Linked DNA regions of Cricetulus griseus. Each later gene encodes a partner of the first gene's protein in a complex. Links are inferred from orthologs where the notes say so. Each region holds a gene or a part of one and is shown on either strand. Other genes may lie near its edges. The genes, in order: Pola2 and Prim1.

What was found.
Region 2: Pola2 (region 1) and Prim1 share a complex: the UniProt entries of both Homo sapiens proteins name them as parts of the alpha DNA polymerase complex. The link is inferred for Cricetulus griseus from reciprocal best matches to the Homo sapiens genes POLA2 and PRIM1.

What each region holds. Positions count from the first base shown.
Region 1 is NC_048596.1:53,379,445-53,383,863, reverse strand, and holds the start of Pola2 (DNA polymerase alpha subunit B), read right to left. Parts: upstream 3,022-4,419; 5' UTR 2,736-3,021; coding exon 2,657-2,735; intron 826-2,656; coding exon 701-825; intron 1-700. UniProt on the Homo sapiens protein: Accessory subunit of the DNA polymerase alpha complex (also known as the alpha DNA polymerase-primase complex) which plays an essential role in the initiation of DNA synthesis.
Region 2 is NW_023276806.1:129,848,797-129,853,193, reverse strand, and holds the start of Prim1 (DNA primase small subunit), read left to right. Parts: upstream 1-1,400; 5' UTR 1,401-1,466; coding exon 1,467-1,569; intron 1,570-2,220; coding exon 2,221-2,378; intron 2,379-4,397. UniProt on the Homo sapiens protein: Catalytic subunit of the DNA primase complex and component of the DNA polymerase alpha complex (also known as the alpha DNA polymerase-primase complex - primosome/replisome) which play an essential role in the initiation of DNA synthesis.

The DNA.
Region 1 (4,419 bases):
TCCAGGACATCATCCAAAGCCAGAGAAATCCTGTCTTGAAAAACCAACAACAACAACAACAACAAAAAAAAAACCAACAAAAAAACCAAAACAAAACAGTTTATCAGAACTTGACAGAAGAAAAAAAAACCAAACAAACAAAAGAAAACCAAAAAACCAAGGCTCAGAAATATTACGTAGGGGCCCAGCGACATGATTTAATGGGCAAAGGCACTTTCTGCTAAGCCTAATGGCCTGAATTTGAACCCCAGAACCTACTTAGTAGAAGGAGAGAATCAACTTTTCTTTTCCTTCTCAAGACAGGGGCTCACTATGTAGCCCTGGCTGACTGTTCTGAAACTCGCTATATAGACCAGGCTGGCCTCAAACTCAGAGATCCAACTGCCTCTGCCTCTCTTAAAGGTGTGTGCCACCACCATTTCAAAACCAACACCATTTTTCATGGCTATCCTCTAAACACTTTAGCATAGGTGTGCATACAAATGCGCGCACACACACACACACACACACACACACACACACACACACACAAGAGACAAGACACTATGATAGAAAGAAATGAAGAAGGGAAGAAAAGAAGTAGAAGACCAAGCTCACACTGGGACCAGAATCAAGGTCAGACTCCACAGCCTGCATCTTTTCATATATTGTGCACCTCCATGCAGCATAAGAACATTAGTTAACTCACATTTGCTCTTACCTCATGTTCAAAAGAGTTCAGGATCTCTGCAGTAAGGCACACTTTCCCTGTGCTGGTGCAGAAGGCAATAAGCTCGCTTACCATTCCCTCCTCAGTCTGTCTGTAAAGAACACACAGTTCCGCCACTGTAGGGAGAGAAACAGGCAAGGAAGAACTTAGTTCATTTCTTTCTTTTTAAGATTTGCTTATTTATTATGTACACAGTGTTCTGCAAGCATGCTCTCATCACAGGTGGTTGTGAGCCACCAAGTGGTTGCTGGGAATTGAACTCAGGACCTCTGGAAGAGCAGCCAGTGTTCTTAACCTCCAAGCCATCTCTCCAGCCCCTTGAGTTCACTTCTTTTTGCTTTCATATTGAGGCAAAGCAATCCTGTGATGTCCAGTCACTGCTTATTCACAGGCCCTGGGAACACAGCAGTGAACAAAACCAAGAAGTTTTTTGTTTTTATTCACAGGAAGCTTACTACTGAGGGGAAGACAGGACAGGAAAGTATATGGTACTTTAGATGCTCAAAGATGAGATGTAGAAAAATGAAGTTGGTGGGAAAGGGATTATAGAGCTAAGGAGGAGTCTGGCAATTTACATACGAGGGGCCGGGGAGAGGCCTCAGCAGGTAAAGTGCCTGCCACACTATCGTGAAGACGAGCACATGGGCATGGTGGCATGTCTTTACTTCCCAGTGTGTGGAAGGCAGAGATGGAATGTTTGGAGCAAGCTAACCAGCCAGCTTGAGAGTGATCAAGGAAGACTAAGTGATTCACCACAGGAGTGAATGTATCTAGCCGGAAGTGATTCTGGTTCTGAGTCCTGGCCATTCACATGAAGATAAAAATGAATCTTCAAAGGCGAGAAGTGGTGGTGACAAAATCCAAAGGAAACCCGGGAGTGGTGCCAGGGAAGCTCCTGATGATATACAAGCAGCAATAACTCTAGTTCCAGAGGCTGGCTCCCTCTTCTGGCTTTTGTGGGCTCTGCATGCATGTGCCCAGTTGTATACACACAGACCAACACTAATTCACATAAAAATAAATAATTGTAGCACTCAGGAGGCAGAGCTAGGTGATCTCTGCTAGTTTGAGACCAGCCTGGGCTACAAAAAGAGGCCCTATTTCAAGAAATTTTAAAAAGAAAGAACAGATTATTTTTAAGACTTCACAAGGACTTGGACTATTTCAGTCTCCATGAAGAAATGCATTACAAATTATTAAACTTTAAAAGCAAAGCAGACAGATCTCACTGTCTAGCCCTAGCTGACTTTGAATTCTCTGTGATCCTCCTGGCCTCGTTCTCCCAAGTGCTGGAATAACAGACAAGCCCACTTACACTACGGTTTTAATTCCTAAAATCAGAAGTTCAAAGTGTTGATGATTGGTTAAGGCAAGTATACCCACAGCGCTATTCTGATGACACACATTTTCCAAGAGATGTGTGATTTAAGTCTTCACCATTGGACTCTATGGACCAATATGATGAGGAGCTGGACTCCAGGGCAAGAGACTGGGGTTGGCACACTGCTTAGATAATTAATTCTCCTTGCCTGTGTTCCTCCATCTATAAAGAGAGGGGGCCAATAAGCTCCCTGAAGTTTCTTCCAAAGCAAAAATAAATTATTAGGAATCCACCTCGAGGAATTTCTATTTGCACAGACCACTAAAACTATGAGCCAGGCATGGTGGTGCACACCTTTAATATCCCAGCAGGCGATCTCTGTGAGTTCGAGACCAGCTAAGTGGTCTACATAGTGAGTTCTATGACAGCCAGGGCTCCATAGCAAGACCCTGTCTTTAAAAACCAACTCTGATGAGAAAAGTCATAGAGCAACAGATGACTAGGTATGAGCTGCAAACGGTCCCAATGTCTCCTTTTGGCAGTGTCACCTCCTGTTTGATCAGGACCCAAGCAAGACCCCACGAGCATATGCAATTTGGAAGGGACCCCCTCGGTTCGGGACTCACGTTTCTCCATCAGGGCGTCCTCGCAGTCCAGGCCGAAGATCTGTAGCTCCTCCGCCAGCTGCTGGGTGGACACGGCCATGATGACCCGGAGGGGCCGGGCGCTGCCTCAGCTCAAGTCTGCTCAGCAGAGGCTTATCCTTTCGCTTTGGGGGAAAGTGACAGGGACGCGCCACCAGAGACAACTGGCCTAAGCCCTCAGAAGACCCTATCCAGCAGGTCACAGAGAGATACGTCAACAACGACAAAAACTCGAAAGGTCTCGTTCCGGAGAGGAAACTTGCTTCCGAAGCTACCGCTTAGCTTCTGAGTGAGGAGCACAGCCGGGAAAAACCCGCCAAACGCTTAGCCCGGCGCGCGCTTGCGCGAGGACCGCTCCACACGGCCCTCCCCGCGCACGCGCCGGTCCGTCCATTGCGCCTGCGCGGAACGCGCCCGCTGAGCGTCGGTCGGCGCGGAAAGAAGAGTTCCTGCCTCCTCTTGCTGCGGCGGTGTGTTTCAGGGGTCGCCTGCGCTGGGAAGCTCTGCCATGCCTGTTTGTCCCATTTCTATGGGCCAGGAAGCGCTGTCCGTCCGTGCCTGGCAGATCACTGAAGGGGAGCGCTTAGGGCAGTGGCAGTGATTCTCAACCTTTCTTCCTTTTTTTTTTTTTTTTTTTTTGGTTTTGTTTTTTGAGACAGGGTTTCTCAGTGTAGCTTTGGAGCCTATCCTGTAACTCGCTTTGTAGACCAGGCTGGCGTTGAACTCACAAAGATCCGCAAGTGCTGGGACTAAAGGCGCCACCACCACCGCCCGGCCATTCCCAACCTTTCTAATGCGGGGACCCTCTAATGTTGTGGTCACCCACAGCCGTAAAGTCATTTCGTTACTACTTCATAACTGTAATTTTGCTACTGTTATAAGTTGCAATGTAAATAACTGAGATGCAGGCTGTCTGATACATGACACCTGTGTGTGTGTGTTGTTGGATTCCCCAAAGGGGACCTGACCCATGGTTTGAGAACCACTGGCTTGGGCAGTAAATGAGTGAATTCTCTCCCTGATATATTTCCTAGTTATTTTATTTTATTTTTCAAGACAGGGTTTCTCTGTGTAACAACAGCCTTGGCAGCCCCGGAACTCACTCTGTAGACTAGGCTGGCCGCGAACGTGCAAAGATCCGCCTGCTCCTGCCTCCCGAGTGCTGGAGTTAAAGGCATGTGCCACCAACGCCCAGTTTATTTCCTAATTTTTGGAACCCAAATCTGCATTGGTTTGGCTTAATCAAGTGACCTGTGACACCATGTGCTAAGAATGGAATGGAGCACTGACAGCCTTTGAAGAAAACAGTGTGAGCCCAGCGTTCAGAGGCAGAGGCAAGAAGATCCTCTGAGTTGGAGGCCAGCATGGTCTACAGAGCGAGTCCAGGACAGCTAGGATTACACAGAGAAACCCTATCTTGAAAAATAAAACAACAACAACAACAAAAGGAAGGGTACACCTGTAATCTCAGCACGACTGAGATGGGAGCCTCTGCAAGTTCCAGCCAAGGCTACATACACAGAGAGACCCTGTCTGAGAAAACCAACAAAAAACAACAAACAGGCTATAGAGACGGCTTAGCTGTTGTGCTTGCTCAATGCTTTCAAAAAGGACCTGGGTTTGATTCCAGCACTCTAACTCCAGTTTCAGGGGATCTGATACCTGGCCTCCACAAGCTCCTACAGAGCGGTGACACACATATATACACTAAGGTACTCACAAACACCTATAAGAACACACCTTTA
Region 2 (4,397 bases), on another chromosome or scaffold:
CTCACGAAGGCAAACACACATTCACAAACTTTTTAAAAAATTAGTCTTTAAAAATTAATTTAAAAATTAAAAATGAGAAAATTAAAATTTTTAAAAAGTTAAAAATATTTTTTAATTAAAATAAATTAGCAATTTTTTTTTTTTTTTTTTTTTTTTGGTTTTTCGAGACAGGGTTTCTCTGTGTAGCTTTGGAGCCTATCCTGGCCCTCGCTCTGGCGACCAGGCTGGCCTCAAACTAACAGAGATCCACCTGCTTCTGCAAAAATTTTAAAGTATGATTTTCAAGTGACGAAATATTGATGAGTTATCAGACTGCCCACCTAGTCCATAACTGTAAGACACGTCTTGACATAGGAAGACTGACTGGCAGATTAACACATCAATAGCAAATATGCTTTCTTCATTTTTTTTAATGTTCTTCAACTTCCTTCTAATTCATATTTTAGTATTCCTGGGTGTTCTGTTTGAAAGACTAAATATATAGGCCGTGGCCAGAGAGTACATAAAGTAGAATTCTAAATGGAATGGAATTGAGAACGCATTAATGAATCTATGTTGTTTATAGCCAACTGATTTTTTTGGAAAAGACGTTAAGAACATACATTGGAGAAAAGACATTTTCAGTAAATGTTACTGATAAAATTAGATATCCGTATGCAGAAAAATAAAACAAGACCCCCACGTCTCACCAAGTACAAAAGCCAACTTCGATGAAAATGGGTCAAAGACAGTGGTATGGTGGTGCACAGCTGTAATTCCAGCGCGGGAAGGCAGACGTGGAAGAATCATTGCAAACTGAAGGCCAGCATGGTCTGCTGGTTGTGCTAGCCAGAGCTACACAGCAAGAAGCTGTCTTTTTTAAAAAAGGAAAGGGGAAGCTGGGTGGTGGCAGTACACACTTTTAATCCCAGCACTCAGGAGGCAGAGGCAGGGCAATCTCTGTGAGTTCGAGGCCAGCCTGTTCTAAAGAGTAAGTGAGTTAGTTCCAGGACATCCAGGGATGTTACATAGAGAAACCCTGTCTCAAAAAACGAACAAACAAAAAACCAGCCTGGTGACATACAGTAATGATCTCAGCACTTGAAATTCAGAAGCATGAGAAATCTCTAATTTGAGGCCAACCTGGACAAACAAAGCAAGACTCTGTATTTTAAAAAATACATATTTAAAATAATAGAACACAGTAAATGTTAATGCAAAATTAAACAAATAAAAAAAAAGAACTCTGAGCTATGCTTTCAACCACTGCTCAAAAAAAACTAAGTTCTTTGTCGTTATGTTGTTTTGTTTTTCCAGGCAATGTCTCCGAACTCGCCCACCCAAAAAAAGAGCAAGAGCTGCGGGACTCTCAAGAACTACAATTCCCGGCAGTCCCTGCGGCGGCGCGCCACGACTTGGATGCGTGCACAGCCGCGGAGCCCTGAGTCGTTCCCGCCAATTCTCGTGTCTGTCTAGTTCCTGACTTCATGGAGCCGTTTGATCCTGCCGAGCTGCCGGAGCTACTGAAGCTATATTACCGACGCCTCTTTCCCTACGCCCAGTACTATCGCTGGCTCAACTATGGCGGAGGTGAAGGAGGCTGGAGCGGGGTGGGGAGTGGGGCTGGGAGCCGTGTGCGGGAAGATTCTGGGAGAGATGTCCTCACATGACTGTCGGGTGCCTTCCTGCACCGTCTCCATCCCGCCTCACCACCTCTGAGGTACGGAAAGACAGGTGGACCTAGCCACACTGTTAAAAGAACGGGGCCAGCAGCAAGCGGGTGTTAGCATGGAGGCGCGCAGGTGTGACCTGCAACCAGGTGCTGGGAAGAAAGACACTTTCACAGCTAGGGCTGTTTAAGGCCCACCGATGAAAGGCATTGCGTCTTTTAAAATATTTGCACCTCCTGTTCATTGTTCTCTAGCAAATGTGGAGTGGTACGTCCCTTCAAATTGCAGACTAAGTAGAACAAGAGCACTCATAAAAATATTCTAGATAGCCTGGTGACTCACACCTGTAATCCTTACCTTTGTGAGGCTGAGGTAGGTGAATTTTCATGAGTTCAAGGCCAACCTGGGCTACACAGTAAATTCTAGGGCAGCCTAGTCTACACAGTAAGACCCTATTGTGTGTGTGTGTGTGTGTGTGTGTGTGTGTGTGTGTGTGTGTGTATAGTCCCATTAGTTGAGATTATGTAATGCCCTAAACTGAATAAAGTACCAAATTAAAATTATTTTGCAGTGACAAAGAATTACTTTCAACACCGTGAATTTTCATTCACACTGAAAGATGATATTTACATTAGATACCAGTCCTTCAGCAACCAGAGTGAGCTGGAAAAGGAGATGCAGAAAATGAATCCATACAAGATTGATATCGGTGCTGTATATTCTCACAGAGTAAGGAATCTTTTTTGTGTGTTTTGTTTCGTAGGCCAGAGTGAATTGATACCCCCAAGTTTTGAAGGTCATGTTTTAGAGTTTGTTATGATTGATCAAACACACTGGTTTTGCCTGGCATGCATGGACTCTTGGGTTCCATAAACCAAGTGTGTTGGTGCATTACCTATAACCCAGTGAAAAGGAAGAGGAGGCCAGAGGATCAGATGTCTAAGCCCTTCTTAGCTGCAAAGGAATTGGAGGCCAGTTTGAAATACATGAGACCATGTCTTTAAAATGGAAGAAGAAAATTCTTGCTGGGGTGGTGACGCACTCCTTTAATTCCAGAGACAGGCAGATCTCATCTACAGAGTTAGTTCCAGGACAGCCAGGGCTGCAAGAGAAACCCTGTCTCTGAAAACAAACAAAAAACCTTTGATTTGATTGGCTAAAAGAGAAAAATAAAATAAATCTATATTTGAAAACAGTAAGCCTGAGGCTGAGGAGATATCACAGTTGTTAAAGTGTTTGGGGACCTGACTTGAGAATCCCTCAGTACCCATGTCCTGAGGCAAAGACAAGCGAATCCCTTGAGTTTGCTGGCCAGCCAGAGTAGTGGAATCAGGGAGCTCCAGGTTCAGGAAGAGACCCAGTCTCACTGAGGTGGAGAGTGGTTGAATACCTGACTTCAACCTCTGACATATATACATGCATCTGCACAGATGAAACAATTAAGTATAGAAGTTTTTATTAAGTTTCTCAGAAAAGGATCTGGGATATAGATTAGATGAATGTGTTCTGGCAGACCCTACGTTAAATCCGTACCAGATCCCTGTTGCACCAGGGGTCGGAAACTAATGTTATTCTCTCTCTAATGCATGAGACCTGGGAGCTCTTAAGATTTTCTGGTAACCTTTCTTTCCCTAGTTCTAAAACTATACAACTGTACACTTTGGTATTGTCTGTTCTGATAGGTATTGAATGGACCCTTACCACACTCATGGTCTTCAATTGTGGGGTAGCTATACTTTTTCTAAATATCCCAACCTTTTTCTTTGAAATACCTTATTTCTAGGGATTTCAATGGTAATTTATTAAAGCCTATTTTATACTTAACTCCACTTCCCCCATTCATAATATTCCTGCTTCTGCCTCCTGAGTTGCTGGAATTTACTAAAGTACCCGGCTACAGACATGATGTTTTTACTGGAAAGTGGTCTGGCCGAGCCATATTCTTAGGGACTCTGTGCTAAGTTTCTCTAGGTCTTTGTCAGAATAATATCTCCACTAGCATAGTGATCTTTGTTTAGTCACTGACCTATCCCTAGAGCCCAACACATCTGGTCAGATTCTTTAGAAAAGAGTCTAGTCTGCTGCCTGGGTTGGAAGTGGAAAGCAACAGACATAAGGAGAAAGGACTGGGTCCCTGGCTGAGGAGATGGCTCAATAGGAAGAAAACTTGCTTTGGACCTGAGTTCAAACCTCCAGCATTCACATAAGAGCTGGTTGTGTCTACACTTACACCTATAACCTCAGTACTATGGAGGGCAGAGGCAGGAGGATCGCTGGGGTTTTCTGGCAATCAGCCAAACTCCACGTTCTGTGAGAGACCCTGTCTCTAGGGAATGAAATGGAGAAGTAATCAAGTAGAACACCTAACATCCCATGCATGTGTATACTACACACACACACACACTCTCTCTCTCTCTCTCTCTCATACATAGACATAAAAATAGATACAATTTAAAAGAAAGGGCTAAATATTAGCATTTCATATAAAAATACATGGTTAATCTCTCTATAATATATCCTTTTTCAACTGTGCCTTTTGTCCCCCAAGTCTAAAGACCCTCTTTTATATTTTCCAAGTAACAGTTCAGGTACCTTCTGTGAGGGCTGTGGAGGAGCAGTCACTTAACTCTGTAGGGTGTGGCAGGGACTGGGGGGTGGCTCCTTTGATTGTTTGCCCAGCATGGAAGCTCAGGACTCTAGGACTACATATCTGGATGTAGTGGCACATGCTTATAATTCCAGCACTCT